Linked DNA regions of Callithrix jacchus. The protein of the gene in region 1 purifies or fractionates together with the protein of each later gene. This does not show direct contact. Links are inferred from orthologs where the notes say so. Each region holds a gene or a part of one and is shown on either strand. Other genes may lie near its edges.

What was found.
Region 2: the proteins of ACTL6A (region 1) and SMARCB1 purify together in Homo sapiens (affinity purification with mass spectrometry; 11 studies listed by BioGRID and IntAct, with this or other methods). This does not show direct contact. The link is inferred for Callithrix jacchus from reciprocal best matches to the Homo sapiens genes ACTL6A and SMARCB1.
Region 3: the proteins of ACTL6A (region 1) and ARID1B purify together in Homo sapiens (affinity purification with mass spectrometry; 5 studies listed by BioGRID and IntAct, with this or other methods). This does not show direct contact. The link is inferred for Callithrix jacchus from reciprocal best matches to the Homo sapiens genes ACTL6A and ARID1B.
Region 4: the proteins of ACTL6A (region 1) and RUVBL2 purify together in Homo sapiens (affinity purification with mass spectrometry; 11 studies listed by BioGRID and IntAct, with this or other methods). This does not show direct contact. The link is inferred for Callithrix jacchus from reciprocal best matches to the Homo sapiens genes ACTL6A and RUVBL2.

What each region holds. Positions count from the first base shown.
Region 1 is NC_133516.1:7,798,095-7,803,594, forward strand, and holds part of ACTL6A (actin-like protein 6A), read left to right. Parts: intron 1-1,676; coding exon 1,677-1,753; intron 1,754-1,919; coding exon 1,920-2,094; intron 2,095-4,913; coding exon 4,914-5,014; intron 5,015-5,500.
Region 2 is NC_133502.1:192,686,890-192,692,389, reverse strand, and holds part of SMARCB1 (SWI/SNF-related matrix-associated actin-dependent regulator of chromatin subfamily B member 1), read left to right. Parts: intron 1-2,846; coding exon 2,847-2,984; intron 2,985-4,348; coding exon 4,349-4,476; intron 4,477-5,500.
Region 3 is NC_133505.1:164,031,880-164,037,379, forward strand, and holds part of ARID1B (AT-rich interactive domain-containing protein 1B), read left to right. Parts: intron 1-888; coding exon 889-985; intron 986-2,727; coding exon 2,728-3,511; intron 3,512-5,500. UniProt on the Homo sapiens protein: Involved in transcriptional activation and repression of select genes by chromatin remodeling (alteration of DNA-nucleosome topology).
Region 4 is NC_133523.1:42,868,076-42,873,575, forward strand, and holds the end of RUVBL2 (ruvB-like 2), read left to right. Parts: intron 1-2,054; coding exon 2,055-2,174; intron 2,175-2,570; coding exon 2,571-2,700; intron 2,701-3,738; coding exon 3,739-3,853; intron 3,854-3,983; coding exon 3,984-4,009; 3' UTR 4,010-4,091; downstream 4,092-5,500. Other genes in the region: choriogonadotropin subunit beta precursor, read right to left, coding at 4,163-4,474, 4,704-4,871, 5,229-5,243. UniProt on the Homo sapiens protein: Possesses single-stranded DNA-stimulated ATPase and ATP-dependent DNA helicase (5' to 3') activity; hexamerization is thought to be critical for ATP hydrolysis and adjacent subunits in the ring-like structure contribute to the ATPase activity.

The sequences.
Region 1 (5,500 bases):
GGTAACTAGCTTTTAAAACTAAGCATTCTTTTAGATTTATTGATGTTGATGTATATAGATCTAGAGTGTTCATTTGAACTGCTGTATAGGATTCCATTGTATGAATATATTATTGCTTATCTATTTCCCTACTGAAAGACCGTTAGATTATTTCTGCCATTTCCTGTGGCAACCAGTGTGTCAGGAATAATTATAATAGCAGTTGACACTTAGCATGTTTATTTTCTAAGACTTCATATACATGAAAGTATTTAACACATTTAATCATTAGAGCATCTTATGAGATAAGAGCTGTTATGTACATTTTATATATTAGGAAACTGAGGCAGAGAGGTTAGTAAATTGCTCAGGTTCTTGTACATGTCTCCTTGCAACCTATATGAGAGTATGTCTCCAGAATAAATGTGTATAATTCTATGTATGCACAATTTCAACTTTAATAGATATGACTGAGTTGCCTGTAGTGGTTGTCCCACTTAGAATAATAAATTATAGAATCACCCTAGTTGATGGTGGAGGGAGGTTGCTGGCATATTAGCCTGGTTGTTCATTCACCTCAGGGTAATTCATGGCTAACTGCATCCTTCTACTAAAATTCAAAGCTACTGTCAGTAGTCTTCCCTATAAAACTTTCTCTCCAGATTCTGGTAACAATTATTTCTTCTTGTTTCTTCAGTTTGAAGAATGGCAGTGGGTTCATTATTATCAGTTATCACTACAGTACTAGGGTACTGTACTGTCCCTTCTGGTTGTCCTATATTTTACCTCTATCTTTGTAAATACTCCTTTTAATAAGTAAACTCAGATTTCCCAGTTTTAGTGTACCATTTCTTTCTTTTTTTTTTTTTTGAGATGGAGTTTCGCTCTTGTTACCCAGGCTGGAGTGCAATGGCGCGATCTCGGCTCACCGCAACCTCCGCCTCCTGGGTTCAGGCAATTCTCCTGCCTCAGCCTTCTGAGTAGCTGGGATTACAGGCACGCGCCACCATCTCCAGCTAATTTTTTGTATTTTTAGTAGAGACGGGGTTTCACCATGTTGACCAGGATGGTCTCGATCTCTTGATCTCGTGATCCACCCGCCTCGGCCTCCCAAAGTGCTGGGATTACAGGCTTGAGCCACCGCGCCCGGCCTTAGTGTACCATTTCTTAACTGATTGAACCGCTGCTGAAATACGGTGTATCAATTTTTATATTTTAATTAAATGATTCTTTAAGATTTATTTGAAACTAGGTTCAAGTGAGTAATAATATGAATATAATTGGGCTGAGTGCAGTGGGTCATGCCTGCAGCACTTTGGGATGCTGAGGCAGGGGACTGCTTGAGCCCCAAAGTTTGAGTCTGTCCTGGGCAACATAGTGAGACCTTGTCTCTACAAAAAAAAAAGATTTAAAGTATTAGCTGGGCGTGATGGCATGCACTGTAGTCCCAAGTATTTGGAAGGCTGAGGCAGGAGGATTGCTTGAGCCTGGGAGGTTGAGGCTGTAGTGAGCTATGATTGTGCCACTGCACTCCAGACTGGGTAACAGAGCAAGACCTTGTCTCAAAAGAAAAAAAAAGAATGTAATTAATTTTACAGAGCTTTTACATACATTCTTATTTTAAGTACATTAAATACTTTAATTTTCATGTGATACTTTGCAAGCTGTTAATGCTAATTAACTTCTAATCTTTTTAGATGAAGTTGGAGCCCTTGTTTTTGACATCGGATCCTATACTGTGAGAGCTGGTTATGCCGGTGAGGACTGTCCCAAGGTAAGTGTAATGTTGGAATTAATTTGATATGTAGAGCCATTCATGTAAATTAAATTCATGCAGAAATTCTGATTCAAGACAAATACAATAAAGACGTTAGTCGCGGGAAAAAAATGCCTTCTTGGTAAAAGGTGAAACTCATATATCATGTTTCTGACTCTTACAGGTGGATTTTCCTACAGCTATTGGTATGGTGGTGGAAAGAGACGACGGAAGCACACTGATGGAAATAGATGGCGATAAAGGCAAACAAGGAGGTCCCACCTACTACATAGACACCAATGCTCTGCGGGTTCCGAGGGAGAATATGGAGGCCATTTCACCTCTAAAAAATGGGATGGGTATGATGTTTTCCCAGTGGAATTGATTATAGAGGGTACATGGTATATTTTAGATATATATATAAAGCAGTGGCGTTTTATAAGTTGAACATCAGCCATGTTTTTTGTTTTGTTTTTTATTCCACAAACTGATTTCCAGACAGTGAGAATACAAAGATGAATAAGAAATGTTCTTTTTCCTCAAAAGCTTATAGTTAGTGGAAATAGATGTTTACGTACAAATAATAGTGCCCTGTGGAACAAATGCTACAATATAGATATGTGCATAAGCAATGGGACTAGAGAGGAGAGTATTTGATTAGTGTTGGGAGTCACTGATGGTTTTCACAAAGGTGGTAACTCATGATGAATCTTGATCAATGAATAAGAATTAGCCTAGCTGACAAAGCTGGGTAAAGCAGAGGGCCCAGCATGTGTGAAGGGATGGAGTTGTGAAAGAAGCTTATGTGCTTAGAGATGTAATACAATTGCGTGTGGCTGCAGCATTGGGCTCATTAGGGTCAGTAGCAGGTGAGGTAGGTGGAGAGCCATCATAAAAGGGCTTGTAAACCATCCCAGAGTTGTATTAAGCTAGTTGCTGAAGGATAACCCCAAAGGAATTTAAACAGATGTGATATGCTCATATTTGCCAGCAGGAAAGATTAATGGTAATATGTAGGCTCTAGTGAAGGGAGACAGTAGAGACAGCAAGTTCAATAGGAAGATAAGAGTCCAGATCAGAAATCAAGAGGGTTTAAACTGTTAGATCATACTGGTAGAGATTTTGAAGGGACTTTCAGGGTAACCAGGAGACAGTGTTACAAAGTGATCGATGGAGTAAAAGCAAGAGAGGACTCAAAGTTTCCTAGATTTTTGGTTGGGGCAACTCTATGCAGAGAGCACCATGCATTGAGATAGGAATAGAAAAGGAAGGAGGAAGTGTTATGGTTTTAAAAGGCATGGTTGGCTGGGCATGGTAGCTTATACTTGTATAATCCCAGCACTTTGGGAGGCCAAGACAGCAGGTGAATTGCTTGAGTCTAGGAGTTCAAGACCAGCCTGGGCAACATGGCAAAACCCCATCTCTACTAAAAATATAAACATTTGCCCGGTGTGGTGGTGCATACCTGTAATCTCAGCTACTCGAGAGTCTGCAGCACAAGAATCATTTGAACCCAAGAATCATTTGAACCCAGGATGCAGAGGTTGCAGTGAACTAAGATCCCATGACTGCATTCCAGCCTGTGACAGAGCGAGACTCTGTCTCAAAAAAAAAAAAAAAGGCAAGGTTATTAGGCATACCCAGAATCACTCTCAGGTCAGTTACTCACAAGCAAGACTCACTCACAGGACTTAGCATGTGGTTGTACTCACAGCTAAGATTTATTGTACCGAAGATTCAGATACAAAACAACATCAACAAAGGGAAAAGGGATGGGATGATGAAGTCCAGATGCAAACTTCTTAGAGTCTCCTCACAGAGGAGTCATACAGGATGTGCTTAATCCCTCCAGCAATAAATCACAACACACGTGTTATCTTCCATGAGAACTCTGAGACTCAGTACGCAAGGATTTTACAGTGGGCTGGTTATGTAGGTACCATCTACCTGGCCTGTAACACAATTTTAGATTCTCAGAAGGAAAGCAAGTCTTCAGAACTAACATTGTTTGTACAAACAGTGTTGGTATAGCAAGCTACTCTTACCATTTAGGGACAAGTTTTATATCAACATGGGGAACTGTATGCCAGTCATGTTTCCAGACACCAGCTAAGAGACAGCCTTACAAGCAGGCCTTTCTCAGGCTTGCAGTGTTAACTCTTTCATGTATAATAAGTAAGTGGGTTCACTGAGTTCAAAGTGCTCAGAACATCCAGGTGCTAATTCAGTAAGCAGGTGAATAAAAGGTCATAAGAAAGATCTGAAGATACGGAGTTGCGTTTTATTACTCTGAAAAAAAATTGGAATATGAGAAGAGGATTGAAGATGGAGTTCCTGGGGAAAACTTGTATATTTTGACTAATAGAGAATAAAAGGTACCCTTGAAGGAGAAGGAAAGGAAACAATTAGGGATGTAGGAAAAAAATCAGGAGAAGAACAAGGAAAGAAAAAGTTTCAGTGATTCTCAGTGTTTTCTGCTGTGACATTGACAGCTTTACACTGAGAAAGAGAAGTTAAAAAAAAAATCCAGGTGGGCCTGTGGAAGTATATTATATAATTAGTGACATTTTTTCTTTGGGCCATGACAGAAAAGTTTGTAAACTCTTGTGTAGGCAATGCTGTCGTAATTTAGAGAAGTCAGATGATTAAAAATGTGGAGTATCCATGAATTTGCCTATTAGAAGTCGTGAGTGTCAGTTCTAGTGGAATGTTTAGGAAGCCAAATTGAAGACATATGCTCTTCTCTAATTTTTAGCATGTCTTTTAGTTTTTTCCAAATAGATTGTAAGTTTTTGAGTGTCGGGTCTAGACCATACAATTCTTTTTTTACCCCAGCAGTAGTCTCATTCAGAAGGCCATACAGTTCTTCTGTACTTCCTGTGATCATTCTGATCACATTCTGGGCCTCTGAGAAGTACTTACTGAATTGAATAACATTTATTGGGCATTTTAGGTCTGTTAGATTAATTACATTTGGGACAGGTCTGGGGTCTGGAGGACCAAAAAGAAGACAAAGGTACTCTCTGTATAAAGTACTGTGTTAGGAAGTTGATCTGTAAAATCAGTAGGTTCTGTATACTAAAGTATTAATTGTCAAGTCATAGAAACAGTATCTCAAAAGATGCTGTATTCATCTTCAACTATGCATTGTTTCTGAGTTACTAATCTTATCTTCTAGTCGAAGACTGGGATAGTTTCCAGGCCATTTTGGACCATACCTACAAAATGCATGTCAAATCAGAAGCCAGCCTCCATCCTGTTCTCATGTCAGAGGCACCGGTGAGATAAAGACTTTCTTTTTCACATTTCTCTAGTTGTTTTTTTTTTTCTTTTTTCATTTTCAACTCAATTGATGACTATTTCTTTTTTTTTAAAGAGGCATAGAAATTCATATTTTGAATTTGAAAATTAGGAAAAAGGGATTCATTTTTAATACTATCGTATAACTTTTACTGTTCCAATAAATAAAACATCCAGAGAACAACAAAACACCCTAATGGATTTTGTGGTTATTTCTATATTTCCAGGTACTTGTTTAACATTTTATTTACTTTTTTATTTTTTATTTATTTTTAAATTTTTATATTTTTAAAGACGGGGTTTCACCGTGTTGGTCAGGCTGATCTTGAAATCCTGACCTCAGGTGATCCGCCTGCCTTGGCCTCCAAAGTGCTTGGATTACAGGCATGAGCCACCACACCCGGCCTTAACATTTTATTTCCTTGGACTGCATCTCATTTTGATTTATGAATCATTTCTTGTGCC
Region 2 (5,500 bases), on another chromosome or scaffold:
GTGTGCTTTGCAGATTCTTTTTCCCCCCAAGGGATGTGGTAAGAACATAAGAATGGCTTGACCTTCCCAGGGAAGTTGCAGAAGGAAATCGTATACATATGGACGGCACTTTAATTCTGCACACGTCAGCTGGGAATCTTTTATGGGGCGATAAAACAGTTTCATGGTGATCATGTCATGTGAGGAGCAGCTGCAGGAGTGGAATCCTGTTACCCTGGAGGTCAGGTCTCCACGGGTGAGGCCTGGCAGAGGTTTGAGGAAAGTGGCTTTGGCTGGCTCCACACTACTCAGTCAGCCTGGTAAGGGGACTGGCACCCTCCCCATCCTGTCACTGGGCAATTCGAGCAGAGGCTCGGCGCCCTCTCTCAGGGATCCTGGGATTGCAATGGAAGGAAAGTTTATTTATTTAATTTTTTAGTTGGAGTTTTGCTCTGTCACCCAGGCTGGAGTTCAGTGGCGGGATCTCAGCTCACTGCAACCTCTGCCTCCCAGTTTCAAGCCATTTCCCTGCATCAGCCTCCCAAGTAGCTGGAATTACAGATGCCTGCCACCACAGCTAGCTCATTTTTTGTAGTTTTAGTAGAGATGGGTTTTACTACGTTGGCCAGGCTGGTCTCGAACTCCTGACCTCAGGTGATCCACCCAGCTCGGCCTCCCAAAGTGCTGGGATTACAGCAAAGAACCCGTCTTCTTGGGCCCCTCCTCAGAGGTGGGAAGTCACTCCACCTGGGTAGGGCTCAGGAATGTGCTACTTAAATTTTTGCATTCTGGGGTCAGGTTTGGTGACACACACCTGTACTCTCAGCACTTTGGGAGGCCAAGGTGGGAGGATTGCTTGAGACCAGGAGTTTGAGACCAGCCTGAGCAACATAGTGAGACCCCATCTCTATAAAATTAAACTTTAAAAAAAAATTGCGCTCTTTGAATCTGAGTGGCCAGGATTAGGAACCATGACCCAGATAGGCTATAGTGGGGACCCTTTTCTTGCTGTCCCCTCTCTTAGTCCCTGCCCAAACTGATTCCATGTTCCCCAAATTGAGTACTACAAAACTCTCCCTCTCCCTACCAGCAATCAATGATTAGTCCCGGCCTTAGCATCAGATGTGTAAGTGACCCCCACTTTAGAAGGGAAAAGAGTCAGAGGGCCCAGAGTCCAGGCAGGTCTTGGCCATTGCTTCTGCCCTCCCCCACCCCCTGGAAAGGGGAAGGACCTTTATGCTGTCTTCTGGGGTTCCTCTTTAGAGGACATCGTCAAACGTTTGTCATCGCTTGCTCTGAACTGTTGAGTAGTTGTCGCAGAAGCGGTTGCGCAGGTGTTGGGGCCACACAGGGAAGTGATACACAGTTGCTGCCTGCTCCTGCTCACAGCCTTGCCAGGGAAAACAGGAACTCACAGAGCACAGCGGGTACCAAATGCTCTCATTTGTCTCAGCCATCCCTGGAGCCTTAGTTTAAAATAGCTTCCCCCCCCCCCCCCCGCCCCCAAGATAGGGTGTTGCTCTCTCTCCCAGGTTAGAGTGCAGTGTCATGATCTCGGCTCACTGTACCCTCTGCCTCCTGGGTTCAAGTGATTCTCATGCCTCCTGAGTAGCTGGATTACAGACATGTGCCACCATGCCTGGCTAATTTTTGTATTTTTGGTAGAGTTGAGGTTTCACCATGTTGGCCAGGCTGCTATTGAACTGTGTTTTTTTGTTTTGTTTTGTTTTTTTTTGAGATGGAGTTTCGCTCTTGTCACCCAGCTCTTGTCACTGAAGTGCAATGATGTCATCTTGGCTCACTGCAACTTCCCCCTCCCTGGTTCAAGCAATTCTCCTGCCTCAGCCTCCTGAGTAGCTGAGATTACAGGTGCCTACCACCACACCTGGCTAATTTTTGTATTTTTAGTAGAGACAGGTGTTTCACCATGTTGGCTAGGCTGGTCTTGATCTTCTGACCTCAGGTTTTGATCTTCTGACCTCAGGCTCCCAAAGCTGGGATTTCAAGTGTGAGCCACCGTGCGTGGCCCCATTTTAAACTCTTGATCTCAGGTGATCCTCCCACCTTGACCTCCCAAAGTGCTGGAGTTACTGGTGTGAGCCACTGCGCCTGGTGCTTTTGATACTTAGTAGTAAAAGCAACCTGGAATTTGGGAGAAAAGATCAAACTCTTAATGGGACATGTATTATTTAAATTACTTTGGATGTCACCTCTGGAAGGTATTTATCAACCCATCTTCTCACTTCTCTGGAAGCTTAGAGGCCAGAGGCCTTGCCTAGTGTATTTTGGGTTGGCCAGCATGTCTAAAATCACAGGCTGATCACGTCTCCTCCTTCAAAACCCTGAGGATTCCCAGCCACCTGCTGAGTAAAGTCATCTTATGGAGCAGGTGAGACCTGTGATCGGCCCCCTCCCTGGGATCCTCCTCCCTGTACTGCCCCTCGGTCTCTCCCTGCTGCTGCCCATGCCCCTCCCCCAAGGGAACCCTGACTCAGTGTCTAAGGCTCTGCTCTGTTGTCCACCCCTCTGGGATGCCTCCTCCTTGTGCCACTTCCCTGCATCCAGGAAGTGCTTCCATGGAGCCATGCCCGGTTCATAGTGCAGCACACCACAGTCGTGGGGTAGCAGCCGACTTGCATGTTGGGCTGTGTCTGGTGCCCCTCCATACCTTCACCCTTGCCCATGTACCTCTATCATCTGATGACAGCTTGGGGAGCAGGCCCCTGCAAAATCAGGTGCACAGACAACTCCCACAGGAGCCTTGAGCCTGACGGAGGTACAGTGGGCATCCTCTGAGCGTGAGTTGATGCTTGTAGGCAGGATCAGGCTCCTAGACTGATAGGGGGACTTTTCTTGTATCTCCCCAGGGAACAGAAGGCCAAGAGGAACAGCCAGTGGGTGCCCACCCTGCCCAATAGCTCCCACCATCTGGACGCCGTGCCATGCTCCACGACCATCAACAGGAACCGCATGGGCCGGGACAAGAAGAGAACCTTCCCCCTTTGGTGCGGATATGTTGCTGGCTCACTCTCCATACTGATTCCACCTTAGTTTTCCAGCAGATTTCAGTTCCCTCCTCCCCAGAAAAACACTGTGCTTTGACCTTGTGCTCCCCATAATGCTGCAGTACCTCCTCCTCTTTGAACTGCTGTTTCCCTTACTTCCATCTGCAGTCTCCCTGGCTCTGCCTGCTGTCACCTTACCGTGTCCTCCTCACCTCCCTGGCCCCTCAAATGGAGTTCTAGGGGCACAGTCCTTGGGCCCTTTCTCTGCTCTCAGTTTCTCACGGCCTGGTGCTGCCACCACCGCACTCTGCCCCACTCTCACCCTGCCTCAGACCTTAGAACACCCTCACTGCTGTCAGAACGCCTAGATCTCCTGCCCTGCAGTTCCCTCTGCTGATGCTCAGCTCCGTTCTCCCTCCTCCCCTTTCCTTTCCTCTTTCCTTCCTTCCATCATTCATCCTTCCTTCCCTCCCATCCTCCTTCCTCCCCTCCCATCCTCCTTTCTCCTTCTTTTCCTTCTCTCTTCCTTCCCTCCATCTCTTCTTCCCATCCCTAGTTGACTGTCCCCTTCTCCAATAGAGTGGCCACCCCTTTTCTCCAGCACCCTTCTCCCTTTCCCGGTCTGTTTCCCAGTGCATTCATGCCTGGCCCTCAGCTCATTTCTCTCTGTGTCTTCCATCTGCTTCCCAAGATCCCTGGGGGCACTTCTCGGCCTTCTCCATGCTTCCAGACGCCCTTAGGTTTCTTCTGTCCTCCAGCTCCATCTTACCAACCTGCCTGCTGGACTCTTCCCTCTTTATCGTCCCAAAATACCCAACTCCCTTGCTTGGAATCCTCCTGGGACTCCCTCACGGCAGTCACCAGTTTGCATAGCCTGAGAGGAGAACTGTGGGTGCTTCAACATCCGCTAGCTTTGCAGCATCCCCGACCACTGCTCCCCAGGGAATCTGCGCTCTGTGGTCTGTTGGTGCATCCTCAGCAGTTCCTCCATTCACCTGCCTTGGCCTTGCTTTAATATTTCCTCTGGAAATGTTCTTCTCCTTTCCCACAGCCTTCTATGAAAGTCGTACTGAATTTCAGGCTTCAGTATACCTTCGCAGGACGTCTGGGTTTTGTTCCAACACTGCCCAAGTCGATCCTATTGCAGACAGACTGGTGCTTGTCATTTATGGTCCCACCTGTCCCCATTAGACCGTGGCCTCAGGACTCCCGTTGGGCTTGTCTGCTACCTCAGCTGTTAGCTGACAAGTGGCCTTGTTCTCCAGATGGGTTTGCAGAGGTCTGCTGTGCAGAGAGGGAGGCTGAAAACTCACATCCCTGGAGCCCGACACCCTCACTGACTGTTGCTGCCATTTTGCTTTCAGCTTTGATGACCATGACCCTGCTGTGATCCATGAGAACGCATCTCAGCCTGAGGTGCTGGTCCCCATCCGGCTGGATATGGAGATTGATGGGCAGAAGCTGCGAGACGCCTTCACCTGGAACATGAATGGTACAAGGCAGTCGGGCTCTGCTGGGGCTGGCCGCAGCCCCTGTGTGTTACATAGGAACAGTCCCCTTTCCTGCCAGCTGCCTGTCAGGCAGATGCCGGACCTGACATGTAGGACATCAGGGCATAGTTCTGGAGTCTGGGGGTCTGGGTTCAGTCCTGGTTCTGCTGCTGTTCACTGTGGATTGGGCATGTGAGCCTTGGACTCCTTTCCCCATGTTGAGGTTGGGTAGCCCAGGGGGCCTGGCATGGGAGGGGTTTGGTCCGCATAGCATGGATGATGATGACAGTGCCACTCATACCCAGTTCAGCCCCCAAGCCCTGCACACACCCACCTTGGGTCCTATCTGCCACCCTGCTTCTGCTGTGTGAGGTTGCATGTGTGCTCCTGTGCCTCTCCTCCCCAAACTGGTCATCTTTTTGGACATCCTTACTCTAAGTCCTGGGTCAAATGCCATCTCTTCTGGCTCTTCCTGAGCTTCCAAAGCCTGAAGAACTCTGTCTTTGTGCAAATGTGGACAGCAAGATTAGAAGGATATGTATCCCAGGTGTTTTGAGTGCTTATCCCATCTGGGAGGGAGGATTGTGCATGCATTTATTTCTCTATTTTTTTCTAAGTCTGTTAGAATGTATTTTTAAATTTTATTTTATTACTTTTTTTTTTTTTTAATACAGTCTTACTCTGTTGCCAGGATGGAGTGCAGTGGCACATTCTCAGGTCACTGCAGCCTCTGCCTCCTGGGTTCAAGCGATTCTTGTGCCTCAGCCTCCTGAGTAGCTGGGATTACAGGCAAGCACCACCACACACAGCTAATTTTTGTATTTTTAGTAGAGATGGGGTTTCACCATGCTGGCCAGGAGGGTTTCAATCTCCTGACTTCATGATCCTCCTGCCTTGGCCTCCCAAAGTGCTAGGATTAACAGATGTGAGCCACCACGCCCGGCTATTATTACTTTTTTTTTTTAGATCTTACTGCATACCAATTTTTTTTTTTACTTAGTATCTGTATCGTGCTGAACATATTTT
Region 3 (5,500 bases), on another chromosome or scaffold:
ATGTCTGTTTCACATGTGATAGTCTAAAAATTTATTTATTTTTATTATTCTCATTCTTCAATCACGTTGGGAATATATTCAGTCCATTGTTCTGTTTCCTACAAGACTTAGTATATTAACCTAAACCAGTGTATCTTTCAAAGTTCCAAATCTATTGCCTTTTAAAACTTGCTATTTTTGATGGTATTTGTAATTTCTTAATATGCTAGTAGTTGAAAGATAAAAGTATGAGTTCATTTCCATTTTAAGATGTAATAGGTGTACATTTAAATCATCCCTATTATTCTTTTCTAGCCCTTTGGGACATAGGACTTTGAAATTCTGAGCACTTGTATTTATACAGTGATTAGTTAGCTAACATTTGAATTAAGTTTGAAGTGTAGCTTTTAAAAATTAAACATTTTCCATTCATAATGAGAATGTGCAAAGGACAAACATGTCGGTGTTCTGGTACTTCTAGGAACATTGCTTTGAGTCTTAAGTTCTTCTCGTCGTTTCTGGCTTCCATGGATGCCTCACATCACAGCATTGTACGACACTTCCTAAGGCACACATCAGTGGAGAGGCGGGGCTGCGGCCTCCACGCAGAGGCCAGAGGCTCTGACAGGTGCTTACAGGGCGCCTGCCTGTTCAACCGGTATTCCTCTGACACCTATTAGCCAACAGCCCGAACCAGAAGTTTGGCACCATTCCCAAAATGGGTGTTCCCATCCCTGGTGCTAGCAGTTGGCATGCGGCTGCGTCTCAGAGGGCCTTCGTCGGAGGGGTGCACAGTGAAGGTCAAGCAGAGCTGCTGGGGGAATCGGGGTTCCTGGAAATGGATTGTTCCTTTCTCCGTTTGCCTGAAGCTCTTTCTCAGTTAAGTTTTCTTTGAATGCCTCGTTCCAGGCATGAACCTTATGGGCAGCAGTATCCAGGCCAAGGCCCTCCCTCGGGACAGCCGCCGTATGGAGGGCACCAGCCCGGCCTGTACCCGCAGCAGCCGGTGAGTTGGCGAGTGGGCGTGGGGCGCTGTGTTTTCTGGTTCTCTCCTGGAGGCTCAAACTCAAATTTGTCTTTTCAGAAGTCTAACAAAAGCGATCAGTGTTTATGGAGCATTCAGGACATAGTTAACGCTAGAAAATACTCCTGGGCTGTTGAAGTCAGCAAATTAAAAATCACTCTTGATACATGGTTTCCTGAAACAAATATAACCTGTAATAGGAAGCTGAGTACATTCATCCTTGTAAATAACAACCAGCCCAAGCTAGAGGTGGTATATTTCAGACACGTATCTGTTGTGTATACTATTGCATCAGAAGCCATTTTAGAACACAAATTTGTCAATGTTTTAAAGAGAATATGTAGAAAAGCAGCTTATTATATACTAATAATGAAAGTGAATTGGCTTTTTAAAAAATAAGATAAGCTACTAATGGTACTTATTTTGAATAAGTAGGACAGGTTTTTGCTGGTTCACAGGTGACGGCTGCAGCTCGGAGATGCTAGGCTCTCCCCCTCCAGTGCCCAGCGCTGCTGCAGAGAGTGTCCCTTCGTGGTGCGACTCTCCAGCCGTACAGGACTTTGCCATTTCTAAACAGCTTTTCATATCTGAGATCTCTTGCAAAAAATAAAAATTTTGAAAACTGTATATACATTATTACATGTATTATAATTAATTATATTTTTTTCATTAATTTTGCTGGAGCATATAGATAGGCACAGTGAATTGTTGTTTTTTTTGAGACAGAGTCACACTCTGTCTGGAATACAGTGGTGGGATCTTGGCTCACTGCAACCTCCGCCTCCTGGGTTCAAGCAATTCTCCTGCCTCAGCCTCCCAAGCAACTGGGACTACAGGGCCGCCCACCACACCCAACTAACTTTTGTGTTTTTAGTACAGATGGGTTTTCACCGTGTTAGCCAGGTTGGTCTAGAACTCCTGACCTCAGGTGATCCGCCCGCCTCAGTCTCCCAAAGTGCTGGGATTACAGACGTGAACCACTGCACCTGGCCAGTGAATTGCATTATTAAACCAACTGATCTTAAACAGCTTTCAAGTAAAGTGAAAAACACTAGCACCTCACTGCCTTCCATCAGATTCCCACCTACCCCGATTAAGCACTAATCCCAGAGCGTCCTGGGAAGCAAGCCTAGTAGCAGGTGTGGTGCCAGCCCTGTCCTCAGTGCCAGGACCAGCGAGGCTTTGGGGGAGCCCACCTGGCCAAGCCAGAAGTCAGGGCAGGAGCCATGGGATGGATGTCTGGTGACACAGGCCAGTCTGGGGAGCTGAGTCCTGTTTGGAGGCGTTTCCATAAAATGAGGCCCAAGAACCCATTTATCCTGAAACTCTTTCAGACTGGCCCTAGGTCCTAGCTGTCCCGTGGGAGGGTCCCCCTGCCTCCTGCCGTGATCCTAGCACAGCTCCCAGCATGTGTGGCATCTGCTTGTCCGTGAGTCCAACGCTGGCTGTCCTGGTGTCCCAGCCTAAGGAGAGGAGGCTTTTTTTTTTTCCCCACAGAAAGTTTCAAACACGTGAAAACAAATTTTGGATGCCGTCTCCTGAGTGTGTGACACAGTGTATATGATACTGAGATATTTAACATAAATTTCTCAGGTGTTATAGGAGCTTCCCATATTCATTTCAAAATGAACATTCTAGCAGGTAGTAACTATTTTGCATCGTTTCAGTGTGTGATTATACCTGTACGAGCACATCAGGGTGATTTATGTTTCTGTGAATTCCAGAATTACAAACGCCATATGGACGGCATGTACGGGCCCCCAGCCAAGCGCCACGAGGGCGACATGTACAACATGCAGTATAGCAGCCAGCAGCAGGACATGTACAACCAGTACGGCGGCTCCTACTCAGGGCCGGACCGCAGGCCCATCCAGGGCCAATACCCCTATCCCTACAGCAGGGAGCGGATGCAGGGCCCAGGGCAGCTCCAGACACACGGAATCCCACCTCAGATGATGGGCGGCCCACTGCAGTCATCCTCCAGCGAGGGTCCTCAGCAGAATATGTGGGCAGCACGCAATGATATGCCTTATCCCTACCAGAACAGGCAGGGCCCTGGCGGCCCTGCACAGGCGCCCCCTTACCCAGGCATGAACCGCACGGACGATATGATGGTACCTGATCAGAGGATAAACCATGAGAGCCAGTGGCCTTCTCACGTCAGCCAGCGTCAGCCTTATATGTCGTCCTCAGCCTCCATGCAGCCCATCACGCGCCCGCCACAGCCGTCCTACCAGACGCCACCATCACTGCCAAATCACATCTCCAGGGCACCCAGCCCAGCGTCCTTCCAGCGCTCCCTGGAGAACCGCATGTCTCCAAGCAAGTCTCCCTTTCTGCCCTCCATGAAGATGCAGAAGGTGATGCCCACGGTCCCCGCATCCCAGGTCACCGGGCCGCCGCCTCAGCCACCCCCCATCAGAAGGGAGATTACCTTTCCTCCTGGCTCAGTAGAAGCATCACAGCCGGTCTTGAAACAAAGGCGAAAGATTACCTCCAAAGATATCGGTAAGAATTCCAAAGCTTTCATTCTGAATCGAGTTCCAGTTGCAGTGCAGAATTTTAATTTCTGTGTAGATATTGTTCTTATTACTCTCAAAGGGATGAAAAAAATTATGACTAGAAATTATCAAGGCGCATTTTTATATGAGAATAACAGTTAGAGGCTGCTAATTTAAATTAAGAAATAGTGCCAGAAAAGATTTTGAAATAAAATGGCAGGTTTTTTTCCCCATCCTCCTAAAATGGCAGTTTTACATGTGAATGTTATTTGTGTGAAAGATCAAAGCTTCAAGTAAGAAATCAGGGAATCCTCAGTCATTATGTACTATATTTTGGGCTTAAAGATTTGACCTTAACCAAGCCACTTAATCGCTACAATACGTGCCTAACAGACCCTCACATGAGGCTAATGAAATGCTAAAGGTGACCGGAGAAAATCTGAAGGCAAGCCACTCTGTAATTTGGTGACAGCATAGTGAATTTCCATGGGAAAAAGTCAAAGCGTGGATGTATTATGTAGATTGATAGACGGTATGACAAACAGAATATGCTATGCTGTGATACATCGACTTGATATCCCCAATGCACTGGCAGACATGGGCCAAGAACTGTGTCACTCCAATGCTGATGTAGCTTGTTTATCCTCTGTGGGATGTTCTGAATACTAATCAGAGATCTGGACTGTCTGGGAGGACACATCGAGTTTCTGCATGATTTCTGAAGTACTTTTAATGCAGCGAGGGAAATAATAGGTGTGAGTTGTATTAGAAAAAATTACTCAAAAAAACTTAAGATCAAGTTGAGTTCAAATCATTTGCAGTGATTACAAAATCAAATATATTAATGATGAAAGACATCAACCACTGGACATGAAGGAGATGTAGATTGAGAGACCAGCGCAGGAGGATTGCCCAAGCTCAGGAATTCGAGGCCACTGTTGGTCAACCTAGCGAAACCTCGTCTCTGCTAAAAATAAAAACGTTAGCCAAAGTAGAACCCATTTCTGTAGTCCCAGCTATTCAGGAGGCTGAGGTAGGAGGATCGCTTGAGCCCAGGAGGTTAAGGCTTCAGTGAGCAGTGACTGTGCCACTGCACTCCAGCCTGGGTGACAGAGTGAGACTCTGTCTCAAAAAAAAGGAGATAGAGGAAAAAAGGATTTAAAAAAAGTGTGTGTGTGCGCGTGCGCGCCCGCGCGTGTGTGCACGCATACACACACATATATATTCCTTTATATAGATCCCTTTATATATACATATGTCTATCCCTTTGTGTGTGTGTGTGTGTATATATATATATCCCTTTTCATGTGTGTGTGTTATATATATCCCTTTTCATATATATATATATATATATATATATATATATATATGGTTGCAGAGGGAGAAAAGGAGACAGACACAGAGCCCCATTTTATATATAGATAATGTGTATATAAATGCACATGTATATTGTGTGTTTATGTGTGTATATGTATGTTTAAGTAAATTATGTCTAATTTTTTTTTAAATCAGTGCACGTTATATAGCATTTGTCTTCAACCTAGGGAGATTTATATTTTTATTTTAAAAAGTAATTTTGATTTTTCTATTGTAAAATCAATATGTGCCTATCTTAGAAAATTTTAAAAATAGATAAAATAAAGGTGGAAAAGCCACAGTGCCCCGCCCCCCGACCCACATCCACATCCGATGATTCTTGGTGCCTGAAGAACGCCCCAGCCTCCGGGCGGCTCCAGGGGTCTGGCCAAGCTGGGTCTCTGCCCTCTCGGGCTGGCGCCCTGCACTGCCGCCACACCTCCTGGGAATTCCAATGCCTGTTGTCTGTTTCCCCAGCCCCATCTCATGGCAAATCTCACAAACTTTCTACCTGATCATTTTGTCTCCTTCAGTAGCAGGAATATTAGGGAAAACAACAAATTGCTTCCCATTCTTTGGCTCCGACCATGCTCCTGAGAAATCTGAGCCATCAAAGTGCTGCTGTTTGTCACAGCATGTT
Region 4 (5,500 bases), on another chromosome or scaffold:
GTGGCAAGGTCCAAACTCGGTTTCTGGGTGGCAGGGCACTGGAAGAGACCCCTAGGGCGGACGGTGTGCCCGAAGCAGCTGCAGGTCAGGCCTGGGGACTGCCCAGGGCACCTCCTATGCAGAGATGGCAGTGACGGGCGGCCCTGACTGTTAATAGACTCCGCATTTGAGAATCTGTTCACTTGCTAAGATTTATTTCTAATCCCCAAATAAATATCTGCCCTGCTTTTGGGCAACAAATTCAAGTCACCTGACACCAACTTTCCCAGCTAAGTGTGAATGAGACCAGGCTGTCTGCTCCCTTTAGCTCTCATGTCATAAGTGTCCTTGTTGTATTCTGTTGAGTGCTACGTTTGTCGCTTTTGTTTTTTGAGACAGGGTCGTGCTCTGTCACCCAGGCTGGAGGGCAGTGGCACGATCATGGCTTATTGCAGCCTCAATGCCCACCACACCCAGAAACACACACACACACATCAGCCCCCTGCCCCCAGCCTCAGCCCTCTGTCCTCAGCCTCCTCAGTAGCCGGGACCATGGGTGTGCACCACTCCGCCTGGCTAATCTTTGTTTTTGTTTTTGTTTTGAGTTAGAGTCTCGCTCTGTTGCCCAGGCTGGAGTGCAATGGCGCTATCTCGGCTCACTGCAACCTCTGCCTTTTGGGTTCAAGCAATTCCCCTGCCTCAGCCTGCTGAGTAGCTGGGATTACAGGCACCCACCACCATGCCTGGCTAATTTTTCTGTTTTTAGTAGAGATGGGGTCTCACCATATTGTCCAAGCTGGTGTTGTACTCCTGACCTCATGTGATCCACCCACCTCAGTCTCCCAAAGTACTGGGATTACAGGCGTGAGTCACTGCGCCTGGCCTATTATTTGGTTGTTGTTTTTGTATGTTTTGTAGAGGTGGGGTTTCGCCATGTTGCCCAGGCTAGTCTCAGACTCCTGGGCTCAAGTGATCCGCTTGCCTCAGCCTCCCAAAGTGCCGTCAGTTTTTTGTGCCTTTTTTTTTTTTTTTTTAACTTTTTTAGGGCCATTTGTTGGTGATTTTGCTGTGAAATGTTCCCTGAACACCGCGCGGAACTGCTGTGTAGCCTGACAGAGGCAATAGCGGGCACTTTGCTGAGCCCATGTTAGAATGCTGTTGGCGTGAGCTCCATGTTAGAGAATTAACAGTGATATTACATAATAGACACACAGAAATGAGGCCGGGCACGGTGGCTCACGCCTGTAATCCCAGCACTTTGGGAGGCTGAGGCTGTTGGATCACGAGGTCAAGAGATCGAGACCATCCTGGCCAACATGGTGAAACACTGTCTTTACTAAAAATACAAAAAATTAGCTGGGCGTGGTGGCACACAGCTACTCAGGAGGCTGAGGCAGGAGGATTGGTTGAACCCGGGAGGCGGAGGTTGCAGTGAGCCAAGATTGCCCCATTGCACTCCTGCCTGGCGATAGAGCGAGACTCTGTCTCAAAAAACAAACAAATGAAAAAACTGTGTGGAAACACACATAAATGAAAACACACATCGACTAAGATTACATGTATATTGGTTGATGAAAATATTGTGACTAGGGGCTTGAGAACTTAACCCTGTATATTCCACTGGGAGCAATGGCTCAGGATTGGCCAGTCGGTGTGTTTACGGTGACTTCCTGGAACTTCACTACTATGAATAAGGAGACTTAGCTGTATCCCCTGGCACCAGCCCTGGGCTGGCCTCACTGCAGCAGGGAACAAGACACGTGAGGTCCCCTCCTTTGTGGAACTTTATGTCCAGCACGGGAGTTGGGGGCTTGATCCAGTAATCCTGGAGGCAGAGATCTAGCTTAAAGCAGCCTGGCTCTGCAGAAGAGTGCTGTTGGGGGTGGGGGGGGGTGACACCATTGTGGAAGGCTTCACCATCAGAGGGTGACGTCATCAGGTGACATGAGGCACGAGCTAAAGGTTAAGTGGTGTTTGGCCCAGCGAGTGAGTGGTGGTGTGAGGTGGGAGTGTTGCCAGCAGAGGGAATGAAGAGGGAACATCACCCTGACAGTCCCTCTCTACCTCTTCCGCAGGATCCGGGGCACCAGCTACCAGAGCCCCCATGGCATCCCCATCGATCTGCTGGACCGGCTGCTCATCGTCTCCACCACCCCCTACAGCGAGAAAGACACAAAGCAGATCCTCCGCATCCGGTGCGGGCAGGACCAGGCCGTGTGCCTGAGAGACAGGGCTGGGGGCCACCCTGTGGGACAAATGCTGACACTGAGGTCTGGGGGGTGGCATGGTTGCTGGGCCTGCAAGAGAGAGGGCCGAATGGGCACCCAAACAGTGACATCCAGTCTGGGGGGCAGGTGCCACTGTGGGGAAGGGAGGTGAGACGCTGTGACTGGTGTGGGGGTCAGTGCCCTGGGTGGGGTCAGGAGCCCTAGGTTTTAGTTCCAGCCCAGCCCCTGTCTCCATAGTTCTTCCAGCCTTAGCATTCTGTGATTCTAAGATGCAGGCACCACACATCCCAGGGGTGGCTGCGGCCACTCCTGCTGGTCAGAGGCCAGGCCCTGGCTAAGCCATCCCGCCCCTACTGCCTGCAGGTGTGAGGAGGAAGATGTGGAGATGAGTGAGGACGCCTACACGGTGCTGACCCGCATCGGGCTGGAGACGTCACTGCGCTATGCCATCCAGCTCATCACGGCTGCCAGCCTGGTGTGCCGGAAACGCAAGGTCAGCCAAATTCGCCAGCAGGGCCAGATGGCCGGCAGGAGCAAGGATGCGCTATTTCAAGGGCTTCCGGGGGTTCCGTGTTTCATCCTAGAATGTACATTTTCAGGGGCAGGGAATTTTCATTCCTCAGGTTGATTTCTGTGTCGCCTGGCCTAGCCTATAGTAGGTACTCGGGAAGGCCGGGCGCGGTGGCTCACGCCTGTAATCCCAGCACTTTGGGAGACCGAGGCGGACGCATCACCTGAGGTCAGAAATTCGAGACTAGCCTGGCCAACATGGAGAAACCCCATCTCTACTGAGAATACAAAACATTAGCCTGGAGGCCGTGTAGATGGTGGCGCATGCCTGTGATGCCAGCTACTCGGGAGGCTGAGGCAGGAGAATCACTTGAACCCAGGAGGTGGAGGGTGCGGTGAGATCGTGCCACTGCACTCCAGCCTGGGCAACAAGAGCAAAACTTCATGTCAAAAAAAAAAGTAGGTGCTCACTATATCTCTGTTGACTGTAAGTAGATGCTGTTAGGTCCATCTTACAAATAAAGAAACAGAGGAGGCCGGGCGTGGTGGCTCATGCCTATAATCCCAGCACTTGGGGAGGCCAAGGCGGGCAAATCTTAAGGTGTAGAGTTCCAGACCAGCCTGGCTAATGCGATGATACCCTGTCTCTACTAAAAATGCAAAAAATTAGCCAGGTCTGGTGGCATGCACCCGTAGACCCAGCTACTCAGGAGGCTGAGGCAGGAGAATTGCTTAAATCTGGGAGGCGGAGGTTGCAGTGAGCCAAGATGGTGCTACTGCACTCCAGCCTGGGCATGATTGGAGACTCTGTCCCAAAAAAGAAAAAAGCTGAGGAATGAAGAGGCTGGGCCCACACCCAGTGGATAGCCAGGCAGGATTTGAACACAGGCAATCTGGCCCAGAATGCCTTCCCCTCACCTGCTACCCGCTGCTGCCTGGAGCTGGAGGTGGCATAGGCTGGGGTCTGTGCTGTGGGCCTTACGAGGAGGGTCCCCACTGAGGACTTGCCCTCCCCCTCCAGGGCACAGAGGTACAGGTGGATGACATCAAGCGGGTCTACTCACTCTTCCTGGACGAGTCCCGCTCCACGCAGTACATGAAGGAGTACCAGGACGCCTTCCTCTTCAATGAGCTCAGTAAGCGTCCCCACCCCGTACCTGCACTGCCAGTGCCACCCCCAGAGGGAGGAAGAGGGAGCTCGGCCTAAAAGGCTCAGGCCCTGCCCTCTGGGCCACACTGACCATCTGGCCTTCCTTCTCCCCATAGAAGGCGAGACCATGGATACCTCCTGAACTGGATGTCACCCCCGTCCCCACCCTGTTTTCTACCAGAGTTCTGACACTGTGACTTTATATAAAGTTGTTTTGAAGCTGGTCCCACCCTGTGTGTGTGTGGTTGCCCTGATTCCAGAGAAAGACACCCCCAGAGTGCGGATTGAGAAGCCTTTATTGTGGGACTAGTGGAGGGTCTGCTGGCTCCAGGAGTTGGGATGGACTTGTAAGGTTGCGGGGAGGGTCCTTAGAGGAAGAGTCCTGGAAGGTGGAGTAGTCACAGCCCAAGGGCTCGTTCCTGAGACTCCCGCAGTCAGAATAGCTTCGGCGGCAGAGTCCACAGCGACAGCTGAGAGCCACGGGCATGGAAACTACGGGATCCACGCCGGGCCGACAGCCAGGGAGCCGGACAGAGGTGAAGCGCAGCTCGTGGTAGTTGCACACCGACTGGGGTAAGGGCGGTAAGATGGTCTGCAGCACCCGTACCTAAGGCCATGTGGGTGGGCGAGTGGGCATGTGTCTAGGGGCCAGCACCTCAGCTGAGCACCCCAGCTCCCTCCACAGGTCCCAGACTCAGATGTCCAGGAAGCCCTCTGTTCATGCCCTCCAGCCCCATTTCCCAACCCCTGCCCAGAGAGCCAGACCACCCTTCCCCATGCCTCTGTGGGCCCCGCCCTGTGGTGGCAGCACCTGCCCCTGGTCCTGGGCAGCTCACCATGCTGGAGCAGTAGCCGGCACAGATGGTGGTGTTAAAGGCGACACACACAGGGCAGCCCTCCTTCTCAGCAGCCAGGATGGCATTGACGGGGCGACACAGTGGCCGAAGTGGCTCCTTGGATGCCCATGCCCCACCCGTGCTCAGCAGCAGACACAGCAGCAGCCCCTGGGACAAGACAGGTGCTTCAGCCGGGCCTGAGACTGAAGCCCTGAGCCCTGGCCCATCCCCAGGGGTACACCACCCTCAAGGACCCAGGAACCCTGCCTGGCATGTCTTATTCAGGACCTGCCACCCAGACACTTGCCTTTCAGAGCCCACCCCACAGCCCAGAGGACCTGAGATGTCCCAACATTTCAGTTCCCCACCCTCAGGGACTTCTCCACCTGAAGCTTACTTCAGGGTCACACCCCTCCAGAAAAAGGCCTCCTTCCCCAGCTCACACGACTCTGCCCCTCTGCCCCTCTTCATGCTGGTGATGGCCTGGAGGGAAGTGGAAGGTACCCAGGGTCCTTGCAGTCTTACCTGGAGCATCTCCATCCTTGGTGCCTCCCCTGCCTCGTGTACCTGGCTTTATACCTCGGGGTTGTGGGGGCGACAAGGCCACCAGGTGGTGGTAGCATCCTGGGGTAACCTGGACACTAATCCCCCCGGGGGCGGGAGGCGGACAAGGCCAGGGAGACGCAGCAGTGGCTCAGTGGAGCGCTCCAGCCCTCTCCCCGCAGTGGCTCCAGCGCCAGGGGTGAGGCGGAGACCACGGTGAAGTGACCTCAGACTTGGTTGAGTCGGCGTTGGAG